Notamacropus eugenii: one gene and its partners. The protein of the gene in region 1 purifies or fractionates together with the protein of each later gene. This does not show direct contact. Links are inferred from orthologs where the notes say so. Each region holds a gene or a part of one and is shown in the gene's direction. Other genes may lie near its edges.

Evidence for each region.
Region 2: the proteins of TIMMDC1 (region 1) and ECSIT purify together in Homo sapiens (affinity purification with mass spectrometry; 3 studies listed by BioGRID and IntAct, counting the BioPlex papers as one, with this or other methods). This does not show direct contact. The link is inferred for Notamacropus eugenii from reciprocal best matches to the Homo sapiens genes TIMMDC1 and ECSIT.
Region 3: the proteins of TIMMDC1 (region 1) and NDUFA13 purify together in Homo sapiens (co-immunoprecipitation; 3 studies listed by BioGRID and IntAct, with this or other methods). This does not show direct contact. The link is inferred for Notamacropus eugenii from reciprocal best matches to the Homo sapiens genes TIMMDC1 and NDUFA13.
Region 4: the proteins of TIMMDC1 (region 1) and ACAD9 purify together in Homo sapiens (affinity purification with mass spectrometry; 3 studies listed by BioGRID and IntAct, counting the BioPlex papers as one, with this or other methods). This does not show direct contact. The link is inferred for Notamacropus eugenii from reciprocal best matches to the Homo sapiens genes TIMMDC1 and ACAD9.

Annotation. Positions count from the first base shown.
Region 1 is NC_092876.1:346,696,160-346,703,392, reverse strand, and holds the start of TIMMDC1 (complex I assembly factor TIMMDC1, mitochondrial), read left to right. Parts: upstream 1-4,227; 5' UTR 4,228-4,528; exon of another isoform or gene 4,529-4,648; intron 4,649-5,138; 5' UTR 5,139-5,152; coding exon 5,153-5,346; intron 5,347-7,233.
Region 2 is NC_092875.1:78,404,850-78,412,577, forward strand, and holds the start of ECSIT (evolutionarily conserved signaling intermediate in Toll pathway, mitochondrial), read left to right. Parts: upstream 1-4,727; 5' UTR 4,728-4,965; intron 4,966-6,602; 5' UTR 6,603-6,633; coding exon 6,634-6,765; intron 6,766-7,728.
Region 3 is NC_092875.1:55,807,260-55,815,176, forward strand, and holds the start of NDUFA13 (NADH dehydrogenase [ubiquinone] 1 alpha subcomplex subunit 13), read left to right. Parts: upstream 1-4,916; 5' UTR 4,917-5,034; coding exon 5,035-5,128; intron 5,129-7,917. Other genes in the region: TSSK6 (testis-specific serine/threonine-protein kinase 6), read right to left, coding at 3,365-4,183. UniProt on the Homo sapiens protein: Accessory subunit of the mitochondrial membrane respiratory chain NADH dehydrogenase (Complex I), that is believed not to be involved in catalysis. Complex I functions in the transfer of electrons from NADH to the respiratory chain.
Region 4 is NC_092874.1:425,041,752-425,049,358, forward strand, and holds the start of ACAD9 (complex I assembly factor ACAD9, mitochondrial), read left to right. Parts: upstream 1-4,606; 5' UTR 4,607-4,769; coding exon 4,770-4,940; intron 4,941-7,607. UniProt on the Homo sapiens protein: As part of the MCIA complex, primarily participates in the assembly of the mitochondrial complex I and therefore plays a role in oxidative phosphorylation.

The DNA of each region.
Region 1 (7,233 bases):
TGGTGCTCCCCGAACTGGTGATGTTTTTCTATTTCCTCATATCTATATTAATATTGCTATAATTATATTAGTATTAGGCTATATTAATTATTTATGCTATAGCTCTAAACTGTTCATACATTTGCCTTTTCTGTAAATCAATAAAATATCCAGCTTCTTCTTCTCAAATGCATCTTATTGTAGGTGCGAATCTGAACCATAAATTTCCTTAATCATACATAATGGGACGAATCCGAATCCCTTTTGAAATCACAATATAGGTGGAGACCTAGACTGATGAACCAGAAATTGTCCAATGTCTAAGAAGAAGCTGACACTCTGGGACCTAGCCCCCAAGGAAACAGCCATCAGAGGGGAAGAAGTCAAAAGGGAGCAACGGGAAAGTTAAGGTGAAATAAAAGATAAATTACCAAAGATCTCACCAAGAAGAAAACTCAGACTTTGAACTGAAGAAGATAAGCAAAGGGGAAAACAACAAAAGGAAATGTGGCCTCTAGTAAACAAGTTCAGACATCTGTGAATAAATTCTATAAAACAAAGGAAAATGATACAGCACTTGAGACAGAGAACCTGTGGAATGTAAAGAGAACACTGAATCACAACTTGCTGTTTCTGAGTGGTTCAAAGGAGAAATGAAAATTATGAGAGCAGAATTTAAGGTTTGTAGAGCAAAAATAATGGGCACAATGGAAAAACTGGAATCTGAAATGGCAAGTCTCATCAAAGAAACAAAACAATAATTGAGAATGCAAATACATAGAAGTGATGGACAATTTAGAAGAAGAAAAGCAAAAAAACAATAACACTAAAGGAAAATATGGTCACTATCTAGGGAAAATATATTGATCTCAAAAATAAGATGCACAGAGATAGCCTAAAGACCCACAGGTGTCCCAGAAGAAAACTGCCTTGTAAACTGCCAAGAGTGGGGAATTTGTAGCCATGAGGCTACATGTGGCTCTCTAGGTCCTCGAGTCCTTCATATTCTGTGATGGATTCAAAGGGCCGCACTTGAGGACCGAGAAGGCCACATGGCCTCAAGGCTGCAAGTTCCCCACTCTTGGCCCAGAACTTCTGAACAAAGAAAATGAAGATCTATGAAAGAAATCATAGATCATCTCCAGAAAAAAACAAAAAACAAAACCAAGGTTGCAAACTCGAAGACACTACTAGTTAAATTCAACAATTCAATTTAGAAATAAGTTCTGCATACAGTCAGGAGAAAGACCTTCAAAATATGAAAGAAAAGAAATTCAAGTAACACAAGACCATTCTGCAACAACCATAAAATATAAGAGGGAATGGAGAAATGTGTTCCAAAGAGCATTGGAGTTCAGGATGCAGTTCAGGGTGACCTACCCTGAAAATTTTCATAAATGAAAACAGATGGACATGCAATAATAAAGAGGCATTTGAATCATTCTTAGAAAACCAGAACTAAAGAGGTTATTTGCTTCTTGAACGTTCCAGACAACAGAAATGTAGCAGGGCTGAATAAATTCGGTAGTCAGTGATAGGTACAGCAACAGCAGGAGCAACATAGTGATGCAAGCAAGACCAGAAACTCTTCTTCCTGAACATAAACAAGGAGACACAGGTGAAGAAAGAAGTCAGGTGGAGGTAACAATAGAGAGGCAGGCCTGGGGTGTTATGGTCAGAATCAGACAACTGTCTACAGGTGAATCAATGTACACTGTGGGACTTCATTAAAAAATGGAAAGGGAGGGAGAGGATCAAGGATATAGAGGGGAAGGTGTGCTATGCCTGAGTCAAATAAAGGGCTAGCAATGAGGAGATGACTCTTGTGGTCTCTCAGGAAGAGAAGCCTACAGGGGAATGGGTGAGGAGAGGAAAGGATTGAAAAGATTGAAAAGACTCCTTGCTTTTGTGGTGGGAGGGGGTTCCACTGATGATGCTTCTATGGGTGAGGAAAGTAGTTCTGTGATAGGAGATAGGGATCTTGTGCTGGGTGTCATTTGGGGGGATTTGGTGCTTTAAAAGACCATCTGTCCTGCCTTGGGAAGGGGGGAAGAGGTAACTCATGGGGACAACTGGCACCTGGGGGAGCAGGACAGCACGGCCCCAGAGAGGAGATTTTTAGATAAATGGGAAAAAAACTCAGGTAATGGGGGAGAGTAAAGATCAGTGATGAACTACATAATCAGGGATGGGGAAGGAGCTAACATGGGGCCACATCCTCTCTGACACCTTCAAGAATTAGCACCGTCCTAGGAGTGAGACACAATGGAAAAGGGGAATCCACTGGACAAGCTCTAAAGGGTAGTGAAGAAATTGCCAAGAGAAAAGAGCTAAAAATGAATAGCTTTGAAGTTTAGATTACATGAAAAATACTGAGAATAGAGAGTAACCGGATAATTATAGGGACTGTGAACCTGAGAATAAGGGTCTAGTGCAGTCAAAGAGAATGAATAAAGAAGAGAAAGAAATTCTCTTTGCCAAGAAGTGCAAAAATGAAATTAATGAACAAGACTAGTTGAATATGAAAAGGGGGAATCTACTTGCCTAAGGAGAAAAAGAGGAGAACAATTAGAAACAAATCAAGAAGAAAAAAGAAACTAATAAAGCAAAACCCTAAAGGGAAAGGGTTACAAGAGAGAAGGGGATCAGGGGTGAAAAGCCAGCTAGTGGGAATAGGGCCATCTTAAAAAAATTAAGTTAAAATAACTGAAGAAACATAGTTCTGCTTCCCACAGAAGTGGGAAAAATGATAAAAACCCAATATGAAATACAAATAGTGACAAATATAAACCCAGCTGTCATAATATGAACTCTAATGAAATAAGAATGATTAAATAATCTAAATCCTCTACAATCTTACAAGAGACACATTTAAAAATCAAAAGTATATGCAAAATAAAACTGAGGGGATGGGAAAAAAATTTACTATGTACCAACTGAATCCAAAAAAGCAGGAGTTGCAATTATGCTATCTGACAGCGCAAAAATAAACATTCAAAAAATAAAAGAATAAAGAAGGAAACTATACTACGCTGAAAAAAACTGTGGACAACAAACCAATATCAGTAATATGCCTTAGCGCCCGAATTCACATAGGAGACATCATCTGAGCTACAAGAAGAGACAGACAGTAACACAATAGTCACAAGAAACTCCAATATCTCTTTCTCAGTTCTGGATTAAGTTTAATAGATAAGCAGAAGGAAAAATATGGAAATGAAACAAATTCCTGGAGTAGCTAGAGGAAAATTTGTGAAATTTTCTAAATGGGACAGCAAAAGAAAATACCACATGTCACTTTTACAAAAACTGACCATAAAGTAGGGCACAGAAATATTGCAAATAAATATTAAAAAGCAAAGGCAGTTAATCCTGTATAGAAGATAATGCAACAAAAATAGTAACTAGTTCAAGGACCACAAACAAAAGATAACAACCCAAATAGAAACTTAATAATGAAACACTAAATAATAAGTGAATCCAAGCACAAATCATAGGAACAAATAAAAACTATGCAAAAGAAAATGACAAAGACGAAACAATGTTACCAACTTTTAGATGCAGCTAATTCAGTCCTCCACGGGAAAATCATACTCTTACACAGAATCAAAGCAGAAAAGGAAAGGATTAATGAAGTGCGTGTGTATTTAACAAAAATGAAAAGCAAAGAAATCTAAGATAAATATAAAAGAGGAGATATTAAAATGAGAGGAGAAATAGATAAGCTGGAAAGAAATCAAAGAAAGAATTAAAAAAATCAAAAGAGGGTTCTTTGAAAAGACTAATAAAATTGATAAATCTTTAGTTCACCTGATTAAAAAAGAAGGGAAGGGAAAATCAAATCCAAAAACTGGCAAACGTGCAGGGTTACGGCCAGTCCCATGCTAATAAAACTGAGCACACAAGGAGAGGGCTCCTGGGGAGCCAAGGGCGCTGCCCCTCCCCCTCCACAAGCTCTGGGCACACAGTGGTCGCTTAATAAATGCTCTATCTGATCTAGGAAGAGGGAACGAGCTTTGCCCCCAGCTTCCTTCTCATCAGATCTGCACCGGCAGGGTAACCCCTTCCTCAGTTTCCTCATCCGTAAGATAAAGGGTGGCTGGCTCACACACAAATTCCCCAAGGGTAGGGCTGCGGCGGAACGCGCCAGAAAAAGCGCACCAGCCCTTTCGATCGCTAGGCAACGGCGTCGTGCGCAGCCGCACCTCTGCGCCTCCAGCGCACCCCGGGTCATGGGCGGGACTTCCTGTCTGCTGGTGGGAAGAGCTTCCGGGTAAGACCCGAGAAGCCGGTAAGGGAGGGATAGCTAGAGTCGGAAAGGATCTTGGAGGTCATCTGTCCGGTCCCCTCTCAAGTTTTGTGTCTTTTTTTTTTTTTTAAAGTGATGGAGAAAGAAGTTTAGAGGCGTTAAGTGAGTTGGCCAGGGCCGCACAGTTAGTAACTGTATGAGTCGGACCTGGAAGCTCGGGCATCCGGACAGCCCTAGTCCGGCGCTTCTCAGGTACCCTTGTCCCGAGGCTGGTGCCCCAGAGGTGGGGAGGGCTGGAAGGTAAGGGCCGGCTCTGGGACAGAGGCAAAGACAGACAGGGGTGCGTGCGTGCGCGTGCGTGCGCGTGTAAAAGACAACGTGTGTGTATAAAAGTCGTGTGTGTATCCAGCACAGGCCCATGTACGTGGGGAAGTCACAAACTAGGTTTTTTTTATTTCTAGCCCATGTTTCCTTGTTGGGGTTTTGGTCTTTTTCTCCCTTTCTTTTCTTTTTTCTTTCTTTCTGTTTATCTCCCTCCTTTCCTTCTCCCTCTTTCCCTTCTTTCTGTTTCACTGGCCCTCTTTTTCTTGTTCCTTTTTACCTTTTTTCTTCTTTCCTTCCTCTCGCCCCTTCTGCCCCTTATGCTTTCATTCTGTTTCTTTCATTCTTCCCTTTTTTGTTTTATTCTCTCAACCCATTTTTCTCTCTGTCTCCATTTCTTCCTCTCTTTCTCCTTGTTTCTCTCTTTCTTCTTCTTTCTCTCCTCTGTTTTCTTTCTTTCTCCCTTTCTTCTTTCTCCCTCTCCCCATCACTCCCTTCCTACCTTTTTATTTTTGCCCCTTCTTTTTCTTATGCCTACCGCCAAGATCTCCATGGCACTAACTTTTGTCACTTGGCTGTGTTTTCATAGTTGCAAGAACTGGGATGGAGAGACCGCAGAAGACCTGTTTGAGAAGAGTATGGGAGGCTCTGGTGCCTTTCCCAAGGGTCCTTGCTGAGGAAAGCACCATTGCAACGGACTCGAGCTGCTCTCCTGAGAAGACTCTACCTCCTCACATTAAGGGTCCGTTTTACCCAGAGTCAGGATGGGACCGCCTCAAGGAGCTTATTGTCAGAGAGTAAATATAACGATTAATTCTCAGTGGTTATTAATAATAATTGTTCATTGGAGACGTTGCAGAATAGGGTTTTAGCCTCAGTGCAGCCTAACATGGCCTTAAGTAGAACTCTGAGATTCTAGTCTGTTTCTCATTCCCACCTACCACTTACTGAACTTTTCTTGACTGGTTGCTTGTTTTTGTTTTTCATATTTGCCCCCTGTGATTTCATTATAAGATATACAGACCTTGCAGGTCAGTAATTGTTTGACAAGCCTGTCTAAGTTTTCAAGTGGTAACTTCCAGGAATACTTAATAGCTTTGTTAAGAATAAAAGACTTTGAATCACAATTCTTTCAATACATTTACCTAACATTGTATGGCCCAGGAAACTAGAAAAGTTTCACAGGCTCATACATTATAGGAACTAGAAGAGATCCTAGAGATAATCTAGTTCAACCCCCACATTATCAAATGATAAAAAAGAAACCCCCAAAAATTAATTCATCTGTTCAAATTCCCACACAGAGGTGATAAATAGTAAAGCAGGGATTTATTGTTCTTACCACTCATTTTTGTCAGAATTTTGGTTGATCATCTGTGACTTATAGAAACATGGGATTTTGAAGTTGGGAGAATTATGAAAAGCAATAATTCCTTTATTTTATCTAAAAGAGTGAGGAGGCCTAGGAAAATTATATGTCATGTTAATTAGTAGCCCAGCTAAACTTCAAACCCAATGTCTTAACTCTTAATAGTAGTAGTAATAGTTACAAGAACACTGAATTTGCAATCAAAAGATCTAAATTCATATCTTGACTCTTGGGATGAAGGATGAAGACTATCACTTTGTGAATAAGGAGTCCCAGAGGGTAGAGGTGTGCGGAGATTAGAGATAGTAGAGGAGACCTTCCAGCATAGGTTGGGTGACCACTTGGGAATGTTGTAGAGCACAAAGGGTGGGCCAGTTGGTGTCTGAGAATTTCCAGCTCAGATTCTACTAGTCTTTGATTGTCCATATGAATTGGGCATATCACTTCTTTTTTAAAAATTATTTAGTATTTTATTTTTTCCCCAATTACATGTAGAAACAGTTTTTAACATCATTTTTAAAATTTTGAGTTCCAGATTTTCTCTCTTCTTCTCTCCCTATCCCCCTCAATTGAGAAGGCAAGCAATTCTATATATTATACATGTGTAGTCATGCAAAACATATCCACATTCATATTCTTGTGAAAGAAAACAACACAAAACTTCCAGAAAAATAAAGTGACAAAGTACACTTCAATCTGTATTCAGACACCATCAGTTCTTTGTTTGGGGATGGATAGCATTTTTCATCATAGATTTGTTTTGGATCATTGTATTGCTGAGAATAGCTAAGTTATTCACAACTGATCATCTTACAATATTGCTGTTACTTTGTATACAGTATTTTTCACTTTGCATCAGCTCATGTCAGTCTTTCCAGGTATTTCTGAAAGCATCCTACTCACTATTTCTTATAGAACAATAGTATTCCATCACAATCACATAGCATAGTTTGTTCAGCCATTTCCCAACTGATGGGCATCCTTCTAATTCCCTGCCACCAGAAGAGAGCTACTCTAAATATTTCTGTACATATAGATCTTCTCTCCTGGCTCCCTTTTTTAATCTCTTTTTGGATGCAGACCTAATAGTGGCACTCTTCACGGTTTATAGGGTTTATAAGGGTATTCACGGTTTTATAGCCCTTCAGGGATAGTTCCAAATTCCTCTAAATAATGGTTGAATCAGTTCACAACTCGACCAACAGTACATTAATGTCTCATTTTTCTCACCTCCCCTCCAAAATTTGTCATTCTCCTTTTCTGTCCTATTAGCCAATCTAATAGATATGAGGTGATACATCAGAATTGTTTTAAT
Region 2 (7,728 bases), on another chromosome or scaffold:
TATCACACACAACATACCTTCATATCGGTGCACATACAGACACAAAAACATCTTATATCTAGGACCTTATCCCATCAATGTCCTGGCAAAGCAGAGGACAAATTTGGGCCAGTCCATCCTCCATAGGATTGCTGAGGATCTCCAGCCCTTCTTCTTTCTTCCCAATAAATGCTGACTATTAGAAGGGCTCCCCACTCCTTCCCTAGATACCCAGGACTACATCCCTGTGAGGCAGTCCCACCTTAGGGGCTTCAAAGAAAGTAATGGGGACATGACTACCAGGATCACAGATCTTCCAGCTCTAAGGTGAAGATGTTTCTATTCCTGACGATTCACCCCTGATGTAGGTGCTGTGGTTCAGGTACCTCTCTTTCCTGTCCTGGCTATTAGTTCTCTCTTTATTAACAGTGGGGAAAATGAAGTAGGAGATCCTTCCAGGTTCTGATACCTTCAGGGTGCAAGCAGCCTGTAGCATTTTTCTGAAATATAATCTCAACCCTGCTCATTTAGAGGAAGAGCCAGGATCTGGGTCTACCCATCTACAGTGCTTGGTGTGCACCTGTTTTCAGGGAGGATCAAAGGGGACTCCAGGCAGAAGAGTGGAGGAAGGTAGAAGAAGAAGCTGATATCACTTTGAATCTGAGCTCTGGTGGATTGGAGTGGAGAGCCCTGGGATGTCAGGACTGGAGAGCCTGTCTAAGATTGGAGGTGGACTAAGGAGTTCTTGGGACACTGGAACTCCTAAAATGAGGAATTAAGAATTCCTGGGAAATCCTGAAGGTGGAGGGTGTGTGAAGATTTAGGATTAGGAGAATCTGGAACGAGGGGCTGTGGGAACTTAGGATGGAGGTATGTTAGAAAATGTTGGGAGACAACTCCCTGCTTCAGAGAGAGGGGTGCTGGTGGTTGGAAGACTGCGGGTACCAGTGGTGCATTTTTAGGTGTGTAGATTGAAGGAGCCAGGACAACCTGAGCCGATGGGCATTGGGTTGGGAAGACAGATGAAGTAAGTGGTGGGGTGTTGGGAGGAGGGGAGGCCGCATAGGTTCCGGGAACAGATGACTCACTGCTGTGGGCGGGATGGACCAGAAGGGTCATCCAGCACGTCAGGATTCAAAAGCTGGGACTGCAGAAGCATTACCCGGGAGCCCTGCCCTGCCGCCATACCAGCCAATCCAAATCGGAGGACACACCTCTCACCATCTGGAGCAGGGATACCCTTGACTCTCCAGGGAGCTCCCAGTGCTGACCTTGGCGTCCCCCTCTCAGGAATTCTGGCTCCCTGCCGGGTACCCATGACTACTCTTCTTGAAGATGCTGGCCCAACTGGAATAGCCTCAGGGTCCCAAGAGGCTTCTGGGGCAGACATTGCCAGCTGCCTGGCCCTTCCTATCCTTTTTTAGCCTGGGGCATCTGGAGTATTGGGGAAGCTGAGCCTTGGATCTGAGAGGCTGAAAGGATTTGAGGCCCTCAAAGGTTGTGGGATGAGGAGGAAAGTGAAGTGGAAAGAGTATTAGGCTAGGAGCGTAAGAACTCCCCCCACTGTTGACTCCCATCCTGGTTCAAGCCTCACCTTTGCCACTGAATTTCAGTTTCCAGAATTAATCATTCAACAGACATTTATTGAATGCTTACTATGTGCCAGGCACTGTGCTGGCGATACAAAGACAAAAGTGAATCAATGCCTGCCTGCAAAGAGCTTACATTCTAACAGGGGATTCAACATGTGTGTAGGTACACAGCTATGAACATATGTATACATGCATATACATACATACATACATACATATAGTATACAATATACCTAAGGTAATTTGTGAAAGGAAGGCACTAAGAATTGGGGGGCCCAGGAAAAGCTTCATGTAGATGATGGTTGAATCTTGAAGGAAACTAGGAATTCCAAGACATAAAAGTGAAAAGGGAGAGCACTCTAGGCATGAGTAAAACAGCCAGTACAAAGATATGGAGATGGGAGATGGAGGTTATGTGGGAGGAACATCAAGTAGGCCAATATGGTCTCAGAGAGAGAGCGGAGTAAAGTAATGTAAAATAAGACTGGAAAGGCTGGAAGGGACCTGTTTACAATATTTAGATTATTGTGTTTCTCTTTTCTCTGCCAAGAAGAACCTTTGCACCCAATACAGAAGAACAAATATAGCTAGTAAGGCGCTCATACCCCCAAATAAGCCAAAAGAGAGTCCTTAATTCCCCTTGGTGAATTCAAGTTACCTGATGATCCAGATGAACTACATGTCTGGGTCCTGAAAGAACTGTCACATGTGATGGCTGAGCCTCTATTAGTGATTTCTGAAATGTAACACTTCCTCTGGGACCACTTGCCTAACTCCCACTTGAATTGACAAGTCTGGTCCTTCAGAAGGTAGCTGCTAGTGCTACGCCTCAAAAGGTTCTGGGGGAATCAGAAGCCCTAGGGTTTCTAACACAGTTGATCCTGAGCCCCCACCAGTGTGCTTCATGGTTATTTTTAGCCAGTATCCTCAATTACATTTAGCAAGAATATTTACTAAAAAGGTATAGTAAAAACAGTTGGTAAAATATTTTCCTCAGATGGACTAATAGGGCACACCCTCCCTTTGCACACACAAGGTCCTTGGGAAAGTGAGCTCAAACTTAAGAGCACAGTGGTGGTGAGGCACCTGGTTACTAGAAGTTCTTTCTCCCTTCATGGATCCATCATGAAATTCATAGCAGGGGATGGTCTGAGTGATGGTTGAGTTTACCAACACGACTGGCTTTTTGCAGGGCTCTTCTGGAAAGGTCAAGCTGCTACTAGGCTGAGCCAGTTTGCTGTTGGGTAAGCCTCTGACACTTGAGGTTACTTTTCTGCTGGGTCTGGCCACTTCTCCATTGTTGTGGGTACTCTCTCCTCCAGTTCTGCTCAGGTGCCAAGGGAAGGAAAAGCATCAGCTTTCAGTCTACAGGTGTACCAGAACATGTATTGCTTATACCATCTCTGCCTAGGTATCTCCACCTCAAGCCTAAAAGTAGGTAACCTTGTGACTCCTGTACTTAACTGTGTATCCAGCTCTTTTGTACTGTGCTGGTGAAACTTTTGATAGGACCTCAAACTCTCCCTGATCCTGGTAGCCTGAAAGTGGGAAAAAGAGAGAGACACTTTTCAATTTTGTTCTCTTTTCTACTTTGTTCTATTATCTACTTTGTTCTTTGTTCTCAAGGGCTTTTCTACCCCCTTATTGGCTTGCAGTAGGTCTATGAAATTTGGAAGTAGTTTGCTATTTTGTATGTAGGTCTAGAGGCACATTTGATCATTTCAGGCAAGCCTATACTGTTTCCTGTGCGGCATCATTTGCCTTTCATCAAATGGCCAAAGCCCCAGGATCCTTTCGAAATGATAAAAAAGGCTTGTCCACACACATTTTCATAAAGGTTTAGGAAAATTCCTTTATACTTAGTGTACTCCATTCGGTGATTAATTCATCGTTTGGGGGGCCTCAAAAGTCCAAAACTAAACTCATCATTTTTCACCTTAAACTCTCCCTTGCTCCTAACTTCCCTATGACTGTTGAAGACAGCACCATCTTCCGATCCTTGACTCTCTGTGTTCAAGCAGTATTTAAAGGATGGATGCAGAGGAGAGATTGGACTAGTGTGGTTTATCCTCAGAGGACAGAACCAGAAGCAAGTTACAAAGAAGATAATTTAGACTAGATGTCAGGAAAACTTTCTAATGATTAAGATTATATAAAAGAGTAATGGGTACCACAGAGGTGGTGTTTTCCTTATCCCTGGCAGTCTTCAAGCAGAGAATGGATGACCACTAGAAAGGTATGTAAGGATTACATAAATTGGATTAGATGGTCATTGACTTCTCTTCCAACTCTCAGATTCTGAAATTTTGTGAAATACCCAAAATGATCCCAGAGGTAACATAAAACCACTGGAGTTTATTGAATGGTGTGTGTGTGTCTGTGTGTGTGTGTGTGTGTGGATTGAAGGGAATCCAGGATTGAAGTAGAGAAATAAAAAGGGAAAGTTATTGTGATCCTCCAGGGTAGAGGAGATGGGAGCCTGAACTAGGAGGAAGGAGACAGCATATATAAAAGAAGATGTAGGGATGGAAAGGACAACCGAAAAATAGGGATAATGTCTGTAGCACTTGCTCATAAGGTCGTTGTTTGGGTGGGGAAAAAAACGACCTCTTTGTCATCAACATCTGTGATTACTGCTGTCTCCTATCCCTAAAAAAAGAGGGCGCACAACTGGAGTCTAAGGTGACTTGGGGTTCTACATCCTACCAAACATATCAACTCCTTTGGACGCCTCGGGGATTCAGCTGTAAACTGGCCGAGGGCGGGGCTCGGAGAGCCCCGGAGAAATGCGGAAACCCTCCATCCAGTGTTTCTCCCCGGATCTGTCTGTCCATCAGGGCTGCACCGGGGCTGGGTCCCTATCAGTCCTGGCAGCCACGGACCGGAAAGACGCTGGGCTCATGCTCACTTATCACCACGCAGCCGCCTCAATTTCTACCCATTTCGCAGATGAGCAAACTGAGGCCTAATGGGCCTGACGCGAGGAGCGCAGAAGCCAAGAGATGCGCACGCGGTGGAAGCCCCTCCAAGTGCAGCCTGCGCCGGAAACGGCCTTCTTGCTTAGACCTGGGTAGGCGGACCTGGGGCGGGGTTTTCAAAAATGGTGGGCGGGACTATCTAAATGACGTCTTCCCATTGGCTCCTGATCTTGAAAGATTTTTTTTTTTTTTTTTTTTTTTCCTCTGAGAAATCCGGTCGCTCTCTGCCGGGCGCCCCGTGACCTGTGACCCGGAAGCTCTGAAGACCAACATGGCTGCTCCCAGCCATACCGTCTAGTAGAGCCGGAGACTGCTGAGAAGCGCTGTGGCTGGGAATCGCCGTCGCGTAGCTCGAGAACCGGCCCGGACGCCGGCCTCCGGATCCCGGCCCGGCCTCCGAGCGCGCTTTGCCACAGGTCTGCGGACATGGTGACCTTTTCCCCTTGGATCTCGTTTGGGAAAGGGAGGAGTGGGGCGGCGTGTGTTTGTGTGTGTAAGTGTGCGAAGGAAAAGTGCCCACGCGTGAGTATACGTGCGTATTGTGTCGTGTGCATGTGGATGTGGATGTGTGGCCCTCCAAAGCCCCGTCCCAAACCCAGGCCCCAGGCTAGGCAGGAAGCGCGCGGTGCGAGTGGGGGGAGGGGCGGGGGAGGCTGAGCCCGTGAACCCCGTGCCCCAGCCGGCGCAGGCTCGAAGCTGTCCCCCAGCCGCTCTGTGCTAGCCCCGGCGTTGTGGAGGTGTGTCGGGCGGGCATCAAGCGTGTATGAAGTGCTTGTTGTGTGCTAGGCCCTGCACGCCCACGGGGACGCCGAGAAAAGCAAAAACAGCCTCTGCTGTTATGGAGCATGGCGGGGGCGCCAACCCGAAGCTCATTACTGAGTACATGGGAGGGAATCTCAGAGGGGAAAGACTTTGTGTAGAAGAGGGCTTTCAGCTGAAGCTTGAAGGAAGCCAGGGAAATTAAGAGGCTGGAGTGAGGAAAAACAGCATTCCAGGTTTGGGAGGCAGCCAGAATACCCTCATTGAGAAACAGTAAGGAGTACAAAGTAGTTGGGTCAGAGAGGTGGTTGTTGTGTTTGTCCTTTGTTCTGGAAGAGGACCGTGACATCAAGATGACATGACTTGCAGTTGACTTTGTGTGCAAGGTCACCAGCCTCACTTTCTTCTCCTGAGACATCCGGGTCTGATGTTCATCAGGATGACTGGAGATGGCCCAGGATGCAATGGGAGACCCTGGCCCTTTTAGGCTAAGGTCTTATCACATTCTCACTTTGAGTGAGATATACCCATTCAATGAATAGGCTTCAAGTAGTTACTCCAGGGATGGCCTTTCTAATAACAAACAAAACAAAACAAAAACAAAAAGAGAGTGGGGGAAGACCCTTAGGGTTCCTGGGTAAAAGAGAAACAGTTACTATTTAATATTTACATTCACTCAGAGAGGTAGACTAGAAAGGCAGGAAGGCACCAACCTATGAAGAATTTTGAATATTTCATCCTGGAGGTAATAGGAAGCTACTGAAATCTGTTGAGGATGTAGATGTGACCAGGTCCAGCCTTCTCTTTAAAAAGATCACTTTGACCATCAAACAGAGGATGGATTGGGTTTGTGAAAGACTTGAATTAGGAACAAACACCAGTTAGGAAGTTATTGTAATAGTCTAGGCTTAAGACTGTAAGAACCTGAACTAATGTAATGCTGTGTAATTGGGGAGAAAGGGATGTACGGGAGAGAGGCTGTGAAGTATAGAAGTGATAAGATTTGGCAATGGATTGGATATGTTGGAGGAGAGTGGGATCAAGGAGTACTCTAAAGCTGGGAGCCTAGGTTAGTGAGAGGATGGACACACCCTGGGCATTGTAATAGTATCAAATATTGGAAGAGAAGAGCATTTGAGGAGGGAAAGAGGATAATTCTGAGGGGTGTGTTTGTGTATGCATGCACGCACACGCACGCATGTGCACACGCACACATGTGCATGTGCACGTGTACAGGGAGGTTTCCAAGGCCATTCTCTGGGTCAGCTAACCACATATCCTTTCCTTGGATTAGGTAGGCATCTGGTTGCCATTAATTCCTGACCATGGCCAGCAACAGGATGAACTGCGTACGGAGAGCTGTCCTAGCCTGGGATCACTCCGTGGGTCGCCCCTTCCTTTCCAGAGCTGCTCCAGGGCACAGCCCTTGGCAGCTGGAAGGAAGCTGCCTTTTACAGGTAGAAGGGATGGGGTAGGGAGAGAGATCACCTACTTGCCTAACTTTGGATAAGCCATTTAAGCTCTCTTGGCCTTCTCTCAGAGGTCCTCTACCTCCACATCATTGTTTTACAGTGTATAAAACCATCACCCCTTCCAGTTTTTCATCCTGTTTCCCTCTTTTCAGGCCTGAGTAGGTTGGGGGATAGGAGGAGGCACCAGGTTCCCTCTGGTTGTGCCCCATTCACTTGCCTTCTTTAGTTCCATCTAAAACTGACTCTTTAGTATAAATCTTCACGTGGCCGTTCAATTTTGGTGTCATTCCTGGCTAGCATTTCCTTCAGCAAGTTCTGTTGAATGTTTAACAGTTTCTCAGGCCATCCGTACTCAGAGAGACTGAGAAAAATTAGGAATGGAAATCTGAAAATATAAATGGAAAAGAACACAAATGTCCTCAGCAAACATAAAAAAAACTTTGTGTTGAAGATAGAAAATCCTTTTCCTAATACAGATGTTGGCTATCGTGGGAAAGAAGGAGGAGCCCGTAGATGTACTGGGAATCCTTGGTTAGATTTGGCAGTGGTTTGGATATGTTATATGAGAGAAAGTAGAGTCAATGATAATGCTTCAGTTGGGAACTTAAGTTAGTGGGAAGATGGAAGTTCCCTTGACAATACTATTGAAAGATTTTGGAGCCTCAGGATTACAAATTGGGGAGAGGAAGGAGAAGGCTTGAGTTTTTTCAGAGCCAGCTAGGCTCTTTTGTAGATAACAAACCCCAGGACCAAGTATTCAAGTAAGGAACTGAAGTCCAGAGAGGTTGAGAGCTAAGAATTCAAGGTTATATCTATAAATAACAACCAGAATGCAAATCTCATTTTTAAACTCCAGTTCCAGTTATCTTTCACCTGTAGTTTACTGCCTCTCCTTTAGGAAAGGAATGAGGTCCCCCCTAGGAAACCCCACCCGATGGAGGTAGGATA
Region 3 (7,917 bases), on another chromosome or scaffold:
TGATCTTCTATAGGCATCCTTTCAACCTCATTATGTCAGTGGAGAAAGGTAATGGTCAAAGGGCCCCAGAGCACTTGTTGGTCTTAGAATCAGAAGCCTAGATTTCTAACACCACCCTAGCTCTGTGTGAACCTGAGCAATTAATTCCCTTAGAATTTTAAAGTAGGAAAGGAACCTTAGATATAGGATAAGAAATTTAAAGTTGGAAGGAATCTTAAAAGGCCATATAGACCCATATCCTTTAATGTTTTTAAAAATGAGGAAATGTGAAAGGGTTTGCTCAAGGTCACACAGGTAGACTCAGAGATTTCAGAGACTTGGAAAACCATACATTTAGAAATTGGAAATAATTTAGAGGCTATTAGATCCAAACTTCTCATTTTACAGATCAGGAAACCGAGTCACAGAGAGTGACTTGCTGAGGGTCATGCAGTTAGTAAGCATCTGAGGGACTATATGAACCCAGGGTCTTCCTCAGTCCAAATTCTGTGCTGTGTCATACAGTCTCTCAAGTAAAAATGGAAACATTTTGACCTCAAATTCAGTGCTATTTCTATCAAATAGGTGGTTATGATGTAGGTGCTTTATAAACTGCAAAGTGCCAGAAAATGTGAGCTGCCATTTTTTTTGTGTGTGTTTTACTATGGAAACTTCTGTGGCCTTGTTTTCCCGATCTGTAAAATGGAGCTCATGACAACTGCATTACCTACCAGAGCTAGGGTTGCAAAGAAGGGAACAGAATATGTACTGGCGTTGTTATTGCACATTATGCCTGGCCCCCTAATTCAAAGACAAACTCCACTTGCTGGGCCTGCTCTTTTCTCTATACACATTCTCTCATCAGTTCCTAGGTTTCGACTGTCAGTTCTATGCAGATGACTCCCAGGTCTACACATCCAACCCTCATGGCTCTCCTGAACTCCAGTTTGCCTCACAACCTGTTAGTTATCTCTCCTTGTATGCCCCATACTCAACACATGCAAGACCAGCATCTTTCCCCCTAAACCTCCTCCTCCTCCTTCCTCACTTCTGTTTTTGCTCAGATCACCACCATTCTTCTAAACCTTTAGGGGTGAAAGCTAGGAGTCAAACTTGACTCACCCTTTCTCATCTCTCTGCATCTTATCAGTTGCCAAGTCTTGGCAATTTCATATCCTCAAGAAGTCAAGAAGCCTAAGTGCTCCCTCTGGCATGAAAAATCCTTCGTAATCTGGTGTCAGATGGATCTATGGATCACAGATTTCATCTCCTGCATCCTTGCACTTGGAGAGTTCTTTCTCCTTACTTCTCTGCCTCTTGCCCCTCCAGAAGACTTTCCAGGTTCAACTTTACTGCTCTCTCCTATGGGATGACTTTCCTAGTTCTTACAAACTGTTTGTACTCATCATTGTGTCATTATTTTGCATATATTCTGCCTTTATTTATCAGTTGCCTAGTGGGGAAACCCTAGCCTTTGTGGTCTAGGTCTAGCCCTCTGTAGGGATGGGCTATAAGGCTTTGCTAAGCTTGGCTGGAGGTTTCAAACATGGGAAGTAAAGCTCTGTAGGTTGAGGGCTTTTAGACTAAAGCATGCCCACAAAATTTGAACTCTCAGAGGGCAAGGGCTGTCACTTCTGGTAATCCCAACACCTAGAACCCTGCCAAGTACACACATATTTAGCGATTGAGTCACTGGGGACAGGGAGCAGATCTCATACCATTTTGTTTTCCTAATGCCTTGTGTTAAGACGCAGTAGGTGTCCCATAAATATCTAGTGGTGTTTGGGCAAAAGGGAATTGCTGGTTTCCGTGGGAACCCCTCACTTTTTTCCTGCTCTTTTCTAGATAGTGCAGAAGATTTCTAGGGCTCTCCCCTAGATCTAGGAGACCCTGAGCTAGGTTGGCAGTCCTGGAAGTGACCCAAAGAGATACAGTACAAAGGCTTTTTCGTGCACCCTTTGCTTATCATAGGCATTAGAGCTCCGAGGGAGGTTTAGAGATGATCTAGTCCAACCCTGACATTTCTTATTTAAGGAAACAGGCCCTGGGTGATCTCCCTAAACCTCATGCCGCCTCAAAGCCCTGAGCCTGGCCTTCCAGCCCAGCAAGTTGGTAAACGCTAGTTTAAGCAGGGTCTAGCCTGCCATATGGATGGGCTACCTAAGGCCTTGCTAAGCTTGGTGGCTCACCTCAAGTGTGGGTAGTAAACAGGTAAAGGTGGTTACCTGGCTTAGGGCTTTTAAGCCAAGTTCAACCAGGGCTATTAGCTTCTTCCCCTGCTGTCTCTGCCTCCAGAACTAGGGCAAACATCTTTTTTTCCAGTGCCCTGCCCTGCTGTTAGACATCCAGTTCTTAAGATGCTGGCCATCTCACAGCTGGCTTCCTGAGCTCCGGGTCTCCCGGGAGGAGGGGCAGGAAGGGCCCTGGGGAACAGAACCCCAGCTGAGGTCACTCCGCCCCACCCTTCCCTTTCATTCCCCTCCCCCCACCGGCTAGTAAGTTTCCATTCCTTTTTTACCCCCAGTCTGCTCCCCGATCCCAGCAGGACTTGTAAAGAGGGCACAGTGATGACGGCGGGGAGTCTAAAAAGTTTTAAGTGTACGAAAGGGGCCTACGTTGGCTGTCCAAGGGCTAAATCCTTCAAATTACTCGCTCCACCACCCCGCCTATACACCCTTTCCTCCCAGGCTAGAGGAGAGGATGGAGTTGGGCCGACAGGCAGGCAGACAAGGAAGGGTGTGGGGCGGCAAAAGTCGCTTCTGCCCCTGCCCTGCCTGCGCCTCCCCCCTACACCCCCTTTCCCCCCTTAGCCCCCCTCCTCCTAGTCGTCCAGCTACCAGAATCCGGGGTTGCTAGCAAGAGAGCGAGTTTATTGTCGGGTCCAGCGGGGTGGAGGGAGGGCCAGCGCAGGTCTCGGCCAACGGTGGGACGCCTCGAGGTCTCCGGACTGCGCTCCACCTTCGAGTAGGGGCTCTGCGGGCTTCGGCATCTCCCTCCTGCCCGGCGGAGTGTTGGCACTTTCATTCGCTCCGGGCTTTCTGCGCGGCTGGACCCTCTTTTTTTCTCGCTCTGTCCCTAGCATCTTGGTCATGCCCCTTTTCTATACCCACCCCTCGCCCGCCCCCCCATCCCCCCCCACCGCCGGGTGCCGTGGGGGGGAGGGGCGGTCTCCCGTCTCACACCCGTAGACTGGGGGGGCGGGGGGGGGCGGGAGAGAAAGGAGGAAAGGAATGGAGGGGATGAGGTCAGGAGAGCTTCCCGCTCCTCTCCCCTGGGCGCCGGGCGCCCTCGTGCCTCTCCCCTGCGCGAGATCGAGGGGGAGGGTCAGTGAGCCCGGGGAGAAGGGAGGAGAAGGAGGAGATCGGGGGCCCCACGAGGGTGGGCGCTAGCAAGCCTCGCCGCGCAGCCAGCTGTTGCGGGCCACCTGCCCGGCGGAGGGTCGCGCGGACGGGCTGAACTGCAGCAGCTCGGCGATGAGCGCCTTGCAGCGCTCGGCCAGCTCCAGGCCGTCGGGGTAGAGGACGCCGCGCTTCTGGCGGCGGGGCAGGCCCGCGATGTCCGAGTCGTCGAAGGGCATGCAGCCGGTGACCATGACGTAGAGTACGACGCCCAGGCTCCACACGTCGTACTTCTTGGGGTCGTAGGGAATGCCCAGGAGCACCTCGGGAGACGCGTAGGCGGCCGAGCCGCAGTAGGTGGTGCTGAGGTCCGGGTAGCCGTGCGCCTGGCGTCCGAAGCCGAAGTCGGTGAGCTTGATGCGCCGCTCGTCCGGGCTCAGCAGCACGTTCTCGCATTTGAGGTCGCGGTGCACCAGGTGGTGGTCATGCAGGTAGCGCACGGCGCCCACGATCTGGCCGAAAAGCTCGCGCGCCTGGGCGCACGGGATGTGCCCGCTGCGCTGCACCACCTGCAGCAGGTCGGTGCCGGCGGCCTCCATGACGATGTACAGTTTTCCGTTGCACACTTCGATGAACTCGAAGACGTGCACGATGTGCGGGTGGCGGATGCCGCGCAGGATGGACAGCTCCCGGGGCAGAAACTTGTTGACGAAGTCCGGGGGGGCTCGCCGTCGGTCCACCACCTTGATGGCCACCGTGCCCTTGTACTTCTTGGAGGTGGCCACTTTGACCTTGGAGTAGCTCCCCTCCCCGATGGTGCGGCCCAGCTTGTATCCCAGCTCATTCAAGAGTTTGTCTCCAGACATGATGGACGGGGCGAGAGCGTCGGGAGGGTTTTCCGAATTTCGATTTGGGGCTTAACCCATGGCGCTTGGCACCCACAGACCTTGACCCCCATGTGCCCACTCCTGCCCCGGGGTTCCCCGCCGCCCTTTATCGCCCAGGTAACAATTTCCGCCTTGTGAAGTGACTGAGGGCGTCACGGGCCGCAGGGAGGCTGCCGCATGTGTCCTGGCTCTGCACGCCGGGGCCCGTTTTGTGACGTGATGGAGATGGAGATGCTGCCGTGGTAAGGGATGGCAAGACGCCCAGACCCGTAGCCTGGTTGGACGTGAGGCTGGGTCCTCCGAGGGATGTTGGGGACCGGCATCCCCAGGCAGGGTAACGCTGAGGCGGCACCCCCCCTTGGCGGCCATGGGCCAGGAGGTGCTGGGCCTTCAGAGCTGGCTAGCCCAGCCCCTTGTTTTATTAAGGAGTAAACTATGGGGAGCTCAAACTGGCCGGGGGGGGGTCAAGGTCAGCGGTGGGGCCGGTTTGGGACTGGATCCCTGCTGCGCTAACTCCTAGGGGCACCCCTTAAAACCCTAACGCCGTTAACGGAGCTGCCTCCAGAAGTGCTTTGCAAACTTTAAAAAGCTGCTTCAACGTCAGACGGTACTACCATTACTGGGCGGGTGCGCCAGTGGGTGCCGGAGGGGGCGTTCCTTGGCTCCACCCTCCCCTCTCCGACGTGGAGCGCCCGCCCCTTTAAGACCTTCTCTGCAGTAGCTTCCGCCACTCTCTAGATGGCGGAGCGGGCTCGCGCCCCTTGACGTCATTTCCGGCTTCTTCCGTCCGGCGCGGGTCCTCGCCGTCGGAAGTGCCTTGGGCTGGCAAGATGGCGGCGTCCAAGGTGAAGCAGGACATGCCCCCGCCAGGGGGCTACGGTCCCATCGATTACAAGCGGAACCTGCCCCGTCGGGGAATCTCGGGTCAGTGGTTCGTGGAGGAGGCGGGGCCCCGCTCTTACCCTTAGCGGCTTAGCTGGAGGGCCCCAAGCGTGGGGAGGGGGCAGGGCACCCCCGGCGCCCCGAGGTTGCCCGGACCGGAGCCCCTCGTTCCTCCCCATTCTTCAGAAGCCCCAGAGAGCTTAGAACACGGTGTCAGAGTCAGGAGCGCCCCTAGAACCCAGAGGCCGAGGAGTCCCAGGTTTCCCAGCGCGGGGTGATGGGCTTGGGGCTAGAGACGGAGCTTCTCAGACGGGGACAGCTGGTCAGCGTCTTCTCTTGCCTAGAGTCTTGCCAGCAGAAATGAGAAAGAGATCAGCGACCGTTCTGGGGTCCGAGCCCAGACTTTAAACCTGCAGAGGTCATTTGCTTAAACACCTGGTGAGGCTGAGAGAGTACGCTATATATACTCTTCTCCTGTCTCTCCATTTTATTTTTTATACGTTGTAGGGCACTGCCACTCGTGTAAGACTGTCACTGTAAGGGATTACCTGATCTCTGCAATCCTGCAGTGGATTTCTCCTTTCACTGTATCTACCAGTCGTTTGGAGATAACTGCACGTGTATCTGCCTAGCTAACTAGCTACTACTATTGGAAATATAGCTAGTAGTAGTGCAGTATAGGAAGATGAGTACCAGACATGGGAGGGGGGTGCCTGCAGGCAGGGGACTTGCAATCAGAAAGTGAATCTGAGTGCAGATCTTACTTCAGACACCTGGCTGTGTGAACCCTAAGCAAGCACCTTAACCTCTCGTTCTAATTTCCTCATCTGTGGCTGTGAGAATAAAATGAGACTATGTGGAAAGTGGTTTGAAAACCTTAAAGCGCTGTATAATAGCTATGGTTGTTCATAATGGCAGAAAAGAACAGTAATTCATTAGAAAAAACATTAGATAGACATCTGACCCAAGCACTGGGAAATGGAGATCCTAACCTAAGGAGGTAAATTTGACTTTGCATGCAGAGGACTCCCAGATATCTACCTAGACCTGCTTTCTATTACCAGCTTTATTAGACGGTTCAAGCTGGAAGACCTGTAAGATTCTCCCAATCAGCATGTCTGAAACAAAATTCATTCCTTCCCTAGTTACCCATGGTTTCCACCTTGGAGTCCTCATTTGATTTTTCCTTGCCCCATTATTTGCCGAGTCTTTATTCTCTCCCATATTTCTCTGAGTGTTCTTTTGCTTTGTTGTTGGGTTGTTTCAGTCACGTCCGGCTCTTTGTGACCCCATTTGGCATTTTCTTGGCAAAGAGACTGGGGATGGTTTGCCATCTCCTTCTCTGGCTCATTTTACAGATGAGGAACTGAGATGAACAGTGGCTTGCCCAGAGTCACACAGCTAGTAAGTGTGTGAGTCTTCCTGATTCCTCATCAGTGCTTTGTGTACTCTGGCACCACCTAGCAGCCCTGTTCCTCTTATTTCCAGTCGTAGCCACCATTCTCGTTCATGCCCTCCTCACCTCAATCTTTGGGCCCCTTGTCTTTTCATTGCTTATTCCATACCAACCTCCTGACCTGTATTCCTCTCATCATTTACCTCCATTTCTCTTACATGCTGCTGGTTGAAGCTAGAGGAATCATGCAAGTGCACTGAATGGGGGGACTACATATGTGTTACCTAACCTCAGCTGAGTCCTCACTGTAGTAAGGCAATCCTTTTTATTTCTTACTAATTGATTTCCTCTCACCATCCTCATTGGAGCTATAGCAGATAGCTCAGGCCTCCCAGACCTTCCTCTCCTCCTCTCTAAGATGACAACTTTACTTCTTTACTTAGAAAATTGAGGCCATTTACTTGAGTTTCCTCCTTCCCTTCTCTTCTTAAAGCCCCTTCACATCATCCCCTATTCTCTTTTCCTTTTCTCTAATCTCTGATAATGAGATGGCTCCTTTCCCCAAGTCTTAACCTCTACCTGTGCCCTTGTTCCCATCTTTGCCCTCCAGCTAATTGCCTTCTCATTTGTCAGCCTCCTCTGTTTGGTCTTCACCCTTTTTCTTAGGTCTCCTCCATCTTTAGAAATCCTCCACTAGACTCTACCACACCAGTTAGCTATGATCCTGTATTTCTCTTCCTCTTCTCAGTTAAAGTTCTTAGGCCATCTAAACCAGATACCTCTATTTCCTCTGCTGCTCCTGTCCTTCTTGACTCCAAACATCTCTCTGAAGTGGTCTAATTGCCAAATCTGGTGTTGTGATCTTTAGGCCAATTTGACTGGACCATCAAGTGTGTTTAATGTTTAAGAAGTGTAAGGTAGATTCTGACTGAAAAGTTTTAAATGTTTGATGGAAAAGTTTATGTTCAATCCTAGAGGTAATAGAGAGCCACTGGGGGGATGGGAAGAAGAGGGAGAGGGAGAAAGGGAGAAAGAGACAGAGTGGAGAGAGAAAGAGAGATTGATTTTGTGTGAGAGAGAGTGTGTGTGTGTGTGTGTGTGTGTGTGTGTGTGTGTGTGTGTGTGTATGTGTGTGTGTTGTGTTAGGACAGTTGTCTGTCCTGGTCATATCTGAACTTGAGGAAAATCATTTTGGCAGCTGTGTGGAGGAGGGATTGGAATGCAGAGAGACTTGGGAAGGAGACCACTTAGGAGGTTGTTATTGCAGTAATAAGTGAGAGATGATGGAAGACTTGAACCATCATGGTAGCTATATGAGGAGAGAGAGAGAGAGAGAGAGAGAGAGACGAACTCAGAGAGTTCTTATGGAGAAAGAAATGACAAGGTTTGGCAGATGATTGGCCACATGGGATGAGAGTGGGGGTTCAGGGATGGT
Region 4 (7,607 bases), on another chromosome or scaffold:
TCTTGGATCATTGTACTGCTGAGAACAGTTAAGTCATTCACAGCTGATCGTCTTACAATACTGCTGTTACTTTGTAGCCAGTACATTTCACTTTGCATCAGCTCATGCAAGTCTTTCCAGGTTTTTCTGAGAGTATCCTGCTCATCATTTCTTACAGTATAATAGTATTCTATCATAATCACACACCACAATTTGTTCAGCCATTTCCTAATTGATGTGCATCTCCTCAATTTGTAGTTCTTTGTCGCCAGAATGCTATAAATATTTTCACACAATAGGTCATTTTCCTTATTGTTTTTTATCTCTTTTGGGATACAGACCTAATATGGTATTACTAGGTCAAAGGGTATGTATGCTTTTATAACCCTTTGGGAATAATTCCAAATTGCTTTATAGAATGGTTGAATCAGTTCACAACTCCACCAACATTGCATTAATGTCCCATGTTCCCACTTACCCTCCAACATTTGTCATTTACCTTTTCTGTACCATTAGTCAATCTAATAGGTGTGAGTACCTCAGAACTGTTTTTATTTGAATTTCCCATTAATAGTGAGTTAGAGTATTTTTTCATATGCTTATAAATAACTTTGATTACTTCATCTGGAAACTGATCATATCTTTTGATCACTTATTATTTGGGGAATGGCTCTTATTTTTATAAATTTGACTCAGTTCTTTGTTTGTTTGAGAAATCAGACCTTTATCAGTGAAACTTGCTTCAGTTAGTTACTATTGCTAACTGTATTTCCCTCCATCCTATTCCATCACCCCTTCCCCCCTCATTTATTCTATTTTCCAGTGCTGATTCAATCACTCCCAAGGCCTGCTCCTGGTTTGCTGAGGTTGGGGCTGGACTCTGTTTCACTCTCATCCAAGTGGAACAGAACTTTCCTGCTGACCTTCTAAGTTGTCTTTGGCATCTATGGGCTGAGAGGTCTGGAATCTACCTCTGCTGCCAGTGATTCGTAACCAAGACCTGCTCCAGATTTGCTGGAGCTCAGACTGTGCTTCTCTCTCACCCTGGTGCAACAGACCTTTCCTGCTGACCTCCCAAGTTGTCTGGGGCTAGAAATTTGTTTCACTTTATCATTTTGTGGGTTCTGTTGTTCTAGAATTTGTTTAATTTTTAAAGGTATTTGGAGGAGTTTAGGGAGAGCTCAAACAAGTCCCTGCCTTCACTCCACCATCTTTGTTCTGCCCCCTGAAATCTCTTTTGAAAAATACTTCATGCTGGGATCAAAAACTATTCACCATTTTTTCAATAAAGAAAATTTTTATGCTGTTTTTCAGTATTGTTCAGTCTTCTGCACCAATGAAAGGACTAACACTAATTAATAAGGATAATGGAAAAGTACAGAAGATCCATTTAGATAATCTACCTAATCAGGCAGCCTCTACCTAGCAATATGAGATGGCAGCCATCTGGTTTATGCTATTCTGCAGCATATAGATTTTTTTTAAACCACTGCTGAAGAAGTATCTCTCACAGCCTACTTTACGTACTCAGAATTTTCTTGACTTGCCAATTCACACATGGTCAGGACTAGTCATTAATGCTTTCTGGCATTATAATTATTAGCTGTACCACTCTGATCCTTGGTCATACCCTTCACTTTCCATGTACTAGTGTGCTAGAGTATACTTGGAAGACATTAGATTCTGTTCTTTGGCTAAAATTTTCCAAAATAAGAAATTTTCAGCGAGGCTGTGTCAGAGATTCACTAGCCTTCAGGATTTTCCATCACAAACTATTTCTGGGGTATGAAGCTAGGCTGTGGTAGATAAAAGTTCAGCACAGTTCTTGTAAATGCCTACCTGAATTTGATGAATTAATGAATAGATGAAGTGGAATTCTATCTCTCTCTTTTCAGAAGAGATTGAAACTCTTCAGCTACAGATATAGACAACGCAGATTTATAGAGCACTGTGACATTTTCAAAGTGTTTTCCCTACAACAATCCTGAGGAATAAGTAGTGTGGGTACATCACAATTTACCAATGAGAAACTGAATCCTAGTGGCTTGCTGAGGATCACAAGATTATTATTTGAGGCAGGATTCAAGTCTAGGTCTTCCGACACCACATTCAACATTTTATCCTATGCTGCCGCTCAGAAAATTAGGCATCTGAAGTGCTAAATAACCTATCCCCACTTCCTTTGTTCCTCATTCTAGACACTAGTTATTACTTGGTGAATGTACCTGCCACAGACTCATGGAGCCAAGTTGACTCAGTTATGGAAATCAGGGACTCTATGCCTGGGGTCAGGGTTAGAAATCATCTCCAAAGTGGGGGCTGGTGCCTCTGAGAAGTCATGGCCCAACCCTAAGGGGTGTGTGATCAGTCATTTGGTGGGTACCAAGATGAATCAGATCCTATCCTTCCTGTGTGATGATTTTTTAAATTAAATTATTTTATTTGTTTTCAGTGTTCTATGTCTTAGATTTTTTCCCTCCCTCCCCCTCCTTCTCCCCTCCCTCCCCACTTCATCCCTGAAATGGCATACAATTTTATACAGGTTCTATACATACATTTCTATTAAATACATTTTCACCTTAGTCATGTTGAATAGAAGAATTAAAATGAATGGAAGAAATCATAAAACAAAACAAAACATAATACAAAAGAAAATGGTCTGTTTCATTCTGTGATCAAATTCCACGGTTCTTTCTCTGGAGGTGGAAGGCATTTCACCTCGAGTCCATTGGGAATTTTTAAAATCCTTATATTGCAATGAAGTACTAAGTCTACCAGAAAAATGCCTCATACACTGTGGTTGTTGCTGTATAAAAAGTTCTTCTGGTTCTGCTCCTTTCACTCAGCATCAGTTCATATAAGTCCTTCCAGTCCTCTCTGAAGTCTTCCTGTTCATCATTTCTTATAGTACAATAGTATTCCATTACATTCACATACCACAATTTGTTCAGCCATTCCCCAATTGATGGGCATCCCCTTGATTTCCAGTTTTTGGCCACCACAAAGAGAGCTGCTATAAATATTTTTCTACACGTGGGACCCTTTCCCATTTTTACGATCTCTTTGGGATACAGTCCTAGAAGCAGTATTGCTCAATCGATGGGTATGCAAATTTTTTATAGTCCTTTGGGCATACTTCCAAAGTGGATCAGCTCACAGCTCCACCAACAATGAATTAGTGTTCCAATTCTCCCACATTTATCATCCTCCTGTTTTGTCATGTTAGCCAATCTGATAGGTGTGATGTGATACCTCAGAGCTGTTTTGATTTGCATCTCTCTAATCAATAGCAATTTAGAGCATTTCTTCATGTGGCTATAGATAGCTTTAATTTCTTCCTCTGAAAACTACCTCTGTGTGATGATTTAAAAGGTTCAAGAGACATAGTTTCTGGGTAATTTAATCACTTTATTAATAAGACTAGTGCATTATTAATATAAGGATGGTCATTTGGCCCTCTTTTAGAACAGAGACAGTCATGGCAGCAGGCCCAGGGTTATAAATAATCATCTCTCTCTCCTGCAGTAGTAGTTTGTCTCTAACACAACTATTCTAGCTTCATGTCTCCCCTTCAACTGTTCTGGCTTCTGATCTCCCCTCTTCTGACCCTGGGGTCAAACTCAAAGAAGGTGGCCACTAAATCACATAAGGATTCCAGCTGACCTGTGTTAACTTAGAAAAATAATATATTATGGTTGTTCTACTGTATTTTTATCATGTTAAATACTTCCTGGTTACATTGTAATCTGGTTGTGGCCTCACTTGGAAACATTGTAGCACCTTTGCTCCAAAGAATCTCACTCACTTTCCAGGGGTGATGGGGAAGTCTTCAGCAGAGCAGTCCTTTATATTCAGGCTTTCCAGCTCCTAGTTCAGTGTTCTTTATAAAATTATTAATTGGCAGAGAAACAAACGCATGCTAAAGCAGTTAAGGAATAGTTTGCTTTGAGTTTTAACATTAAATTGCTTGTTGAGGCAACATGGTGTGGTGACTATGGAGCCTAACTCAAAGCCAGAAAGAGCATGACACTTCGTGGTTGGGAGACTAGCATATCACTTCACTTCTCCAGGCTCTAGGCTAAGAGTAAGAGTTCCCAAAAAAGTGTTGACCTGCATTGGTAGAGTGACCACCCCTGCCAGTCGGGAGCTCACGATTTAACGAGGGAACCACTCACAAAAACCCACCCATCTAGGGAGATACAGACAGGATAAACTGGAGATAATCAATAGAGATCCACAATTCTCCATCTCCCGACCTGGTGTCTTTGCATTGGCTGTGCCCCCCGTCTGGAATGCTCTCCCTCCAGACTCGGCTCGAGTGGCCCCAGCTGCGAGTGCCTTCCCCGCTCAGCTTGCCCTGCTTTTATACCATAGGCGCCTCATAAGGACGCAGTCACTGACACGCACCCTAAGGTGGGAACTCCTGGACTGCCAGGACCGTGTGGATGCGGCCCAACACAAAGAAGGCGCTTAATTGACGCTGGAGCAGCGCCTCCAGCTCCGTCACATGCGACCCGGTGGTCCGAATCATCCAGCTTTAGTAGGGAATAAATAGGGAGAAGGAGTGGGGAGGAGGAGCCTTCGCTCCACGTGCCGCACTTCAGGCTGCGCAGCCGCAATCCGGACCACAGAAGGGAGGCTGGAGGGGAGGGACCGGGGCTGCCGGGAGCCCGTAGCCGCTCGTGACGCCATCTGGAGGCGTCCGCTTGTGACGCAATCGGGAGGCGCCCGTGCCTTTCCCGGCGCCTGGGGCTCCTCTGTGGCAGCTTGGCACCGGCACGCGGAGCATCATGAGCTGCGGCGGCTTCCTCCTCCTGCGGGCGGCCGGGGTGGGCTCCGGCCGGGTCCTGGGCACCCTCCTCCAGCGGCCGCGGACGGCGGGCAGCCTGCGGCGGCACCTGCGCACCGGTCCGCGGTGCCAGTCCTACGCCAAGGATCTGTTCCTGGGGAAGATCCAGAAGGTAACGGCCGGCCGGCCCCGGCCGGTGGGGAGGGGGCCTGGACCTCCCGGGCCCTCCTGTCTAGCCCCGCTGTTGGCCAGCTGTGGGAGCCCGAGCCAGTCCCTTTGCCTCTGCGAGCCTCGCTTCCCTCATCTGTAAAATGGGCAGGAGGCAGGCAGCAGTCCGGGCTTGAACCCGCGCTTCGGGGACGGGCGTGGTGCCACGGCTGGACCGCTCCCTCCCCTCTCCGGCAGTCCCGGGGGCCCCCGTAGTCCGAGCGATCCCCAAGGTGGATGTCACGTCCAAAGCCTCTGCACCTGCCCTTGCCCGTCCCCCAGCACGGACCGCTCTTCTGAGACCTTTTAGAGACCTTGGACCAGAAACAAACACACACGCACCTTTATCGTCGCTATCCTCTAGCTGAAAGGTAGCATTTTCTTATAAGGTCTGAAAATATTCGGAGAAGGGGCCCATAGGCTTCACCAGACTGCCAGCAAAGACGAAAAAACCCTCATCTCCTTTTAAAAGTCAGGAACCAGGCTGAGGAGAGGGGAAGGGATTTGCCCACCTTCACGTGGTAAATTAGTGGCGGGACTGCGGGACGAACACAGACCTGACTTTCAGTCCGATAATCTTTAAAACAAAAAATTTTTTCCCTAATGTTTTTTTCTTACCCCACTTCTCTCCCCTGACAGCCACCCACAGCAGCAAACTGAATTCAAGGCTGTCACTGTTGGAGAAGTCTCTACCCCCTACTTCTTCATCCATCCCGAGGATGCTGCCAGATAAAAGTTCACTAAGTACAGCTTTAAGCTGTATGTACTTTTTCTTAATCCATTCTAAGTATAGTGCTTGATAAATCTTAAGTACGACTTTAAATTCATCCTTGCCTTACTGACAACACCTTTAGTGGTTCTCTACAGCCAATTGATTATATAGTTCCTGCTTAGATGAGACTATAAATGTATGTGAATATTACCTCCTTCCAGTCAGGGTGTAATCTGTCCACTCCCATGAATCTTGTCTATGTCTTACCAGGATTTTTAACATATAGGTGCCCATTGCAAGCAGCTTAGGCTGTCCTTGACTCTTACTGTGTAAAATCGCAGAGCTAGACTTAGAAGAAATCTTAGAGGTCATCTAGGTCAACCTCCTCCTTTTAAAGATGGGGAAACTGGGGCCCAGGAATGTTAGTCATCATCTGAGGTGAATTTGAGCCCAGGTCTAGAGTCACTGCTAACATAGGATTAAGGCAATTTGATATGAAACTTAACTAAATTGATATCAGCTCATTAAGGACTACTCTCTGGTTCTAGTCATTAAACTGGTTCTGAATCTGAATAAATCACCTAAAATGTTTAGTCTGATCCAGAGGTGTCTAACTCAATTTGAATGCTGCAAACCACATTAAATGTAATTGAAAATGTTAAAATAAATAAAAATAAAATATAGATACTACAATTTGTGATTTTCCAATTCAGTATGTGGCTATAGGGTTCCATTTCTGTTTGAGTTTGACACCACTGATGCAGCCTGTACCACTCCATCTTGTCCACAAGGGGCCTTGTCCGTAAGAGGCTTTTGTTAACATGCTTTAAAGTCTGAGTTTACTGTGCCAGCTAGGTGATGAACTAGATAGAAAACTCAGTCTGGAGTCAGGAAGAACTGAGTTCAAATTTGACCTCAGATACTTACTCGCTGTGTGACCCTGGGTAAGTCACTTCCCTGTTTGCATCAGTTTCCTCTTTTGTAAAATGAGCTGGCAAACCACTCTAGGATCTTTGCCAAGAAAATCCCAAATGGGGTCACAGAGAGTCGGACGTGACTGAAATGCCTCGGCAGCAGCAGCAAACACTACGTTCATGGCATTCCTTTGGTTTATCATTTCAGCTGCCTTGTCAGAAACAGGACAAGATGAGTCTGGCACCATCTGTTCTTGATGAAGCCTAGCTAACTGCATCTTCCCTAAATGCTCACAGAGCAGCACTTGTAATGGCATTATAGGATTCTTCAATAATCAAAGTCAAGCTCCCTCATGTATAATTGACAGATCTCTCTCTTTTCCCTGCCTTTCTCTCCCTCCCTTGCTCCCTCTTTTCCTCTCTCCCCCCTCTTCCTTCCTTCTCTCCTCTTTCTTCCCCTTCTTCCTCTCCCTACTTCTCTTTCATCTCTCCTCTCTCCCCTCTCCCTCTCTCTCCTTTCTCTCACTCTCCTCTCTTCTCTCTCATTCAGCATTTTCCCTTCTCCAGTTTTATTCCACCTGTACTTCTTTGATCAACCATTATATCTCCCCATTATTCCATTACCTGGACTGAACCTGGTGACTTGAACTTTCTAAGAACACGTAGAAGCTGTCTGGCTGTATCTTCATTTATCTTGCATTTCTGTTCTCTGGTAATTATTTTTGTGGTCTCATCTTTATTCAGCAACATATTATACCTTAATGATATGTAAGGGTCATCTTGGACAAAAAAGGCATGTAACTTTATAGAACATAGATTGTAATCTTATATGTGGGCTCATCTAATGTCCTACGATTCTAAGAAAAGCAGCAAAAGTCATCGAACTTAAGTGGGGCAACCTCAAACAAGACAGGACAGGTCACATTGACATACAGCTTGGACCCATTTGGCAGAGTATTATTAACAATAATAGCTGCTGGGAGAAAGGTATTCACAAGTGGCCTGA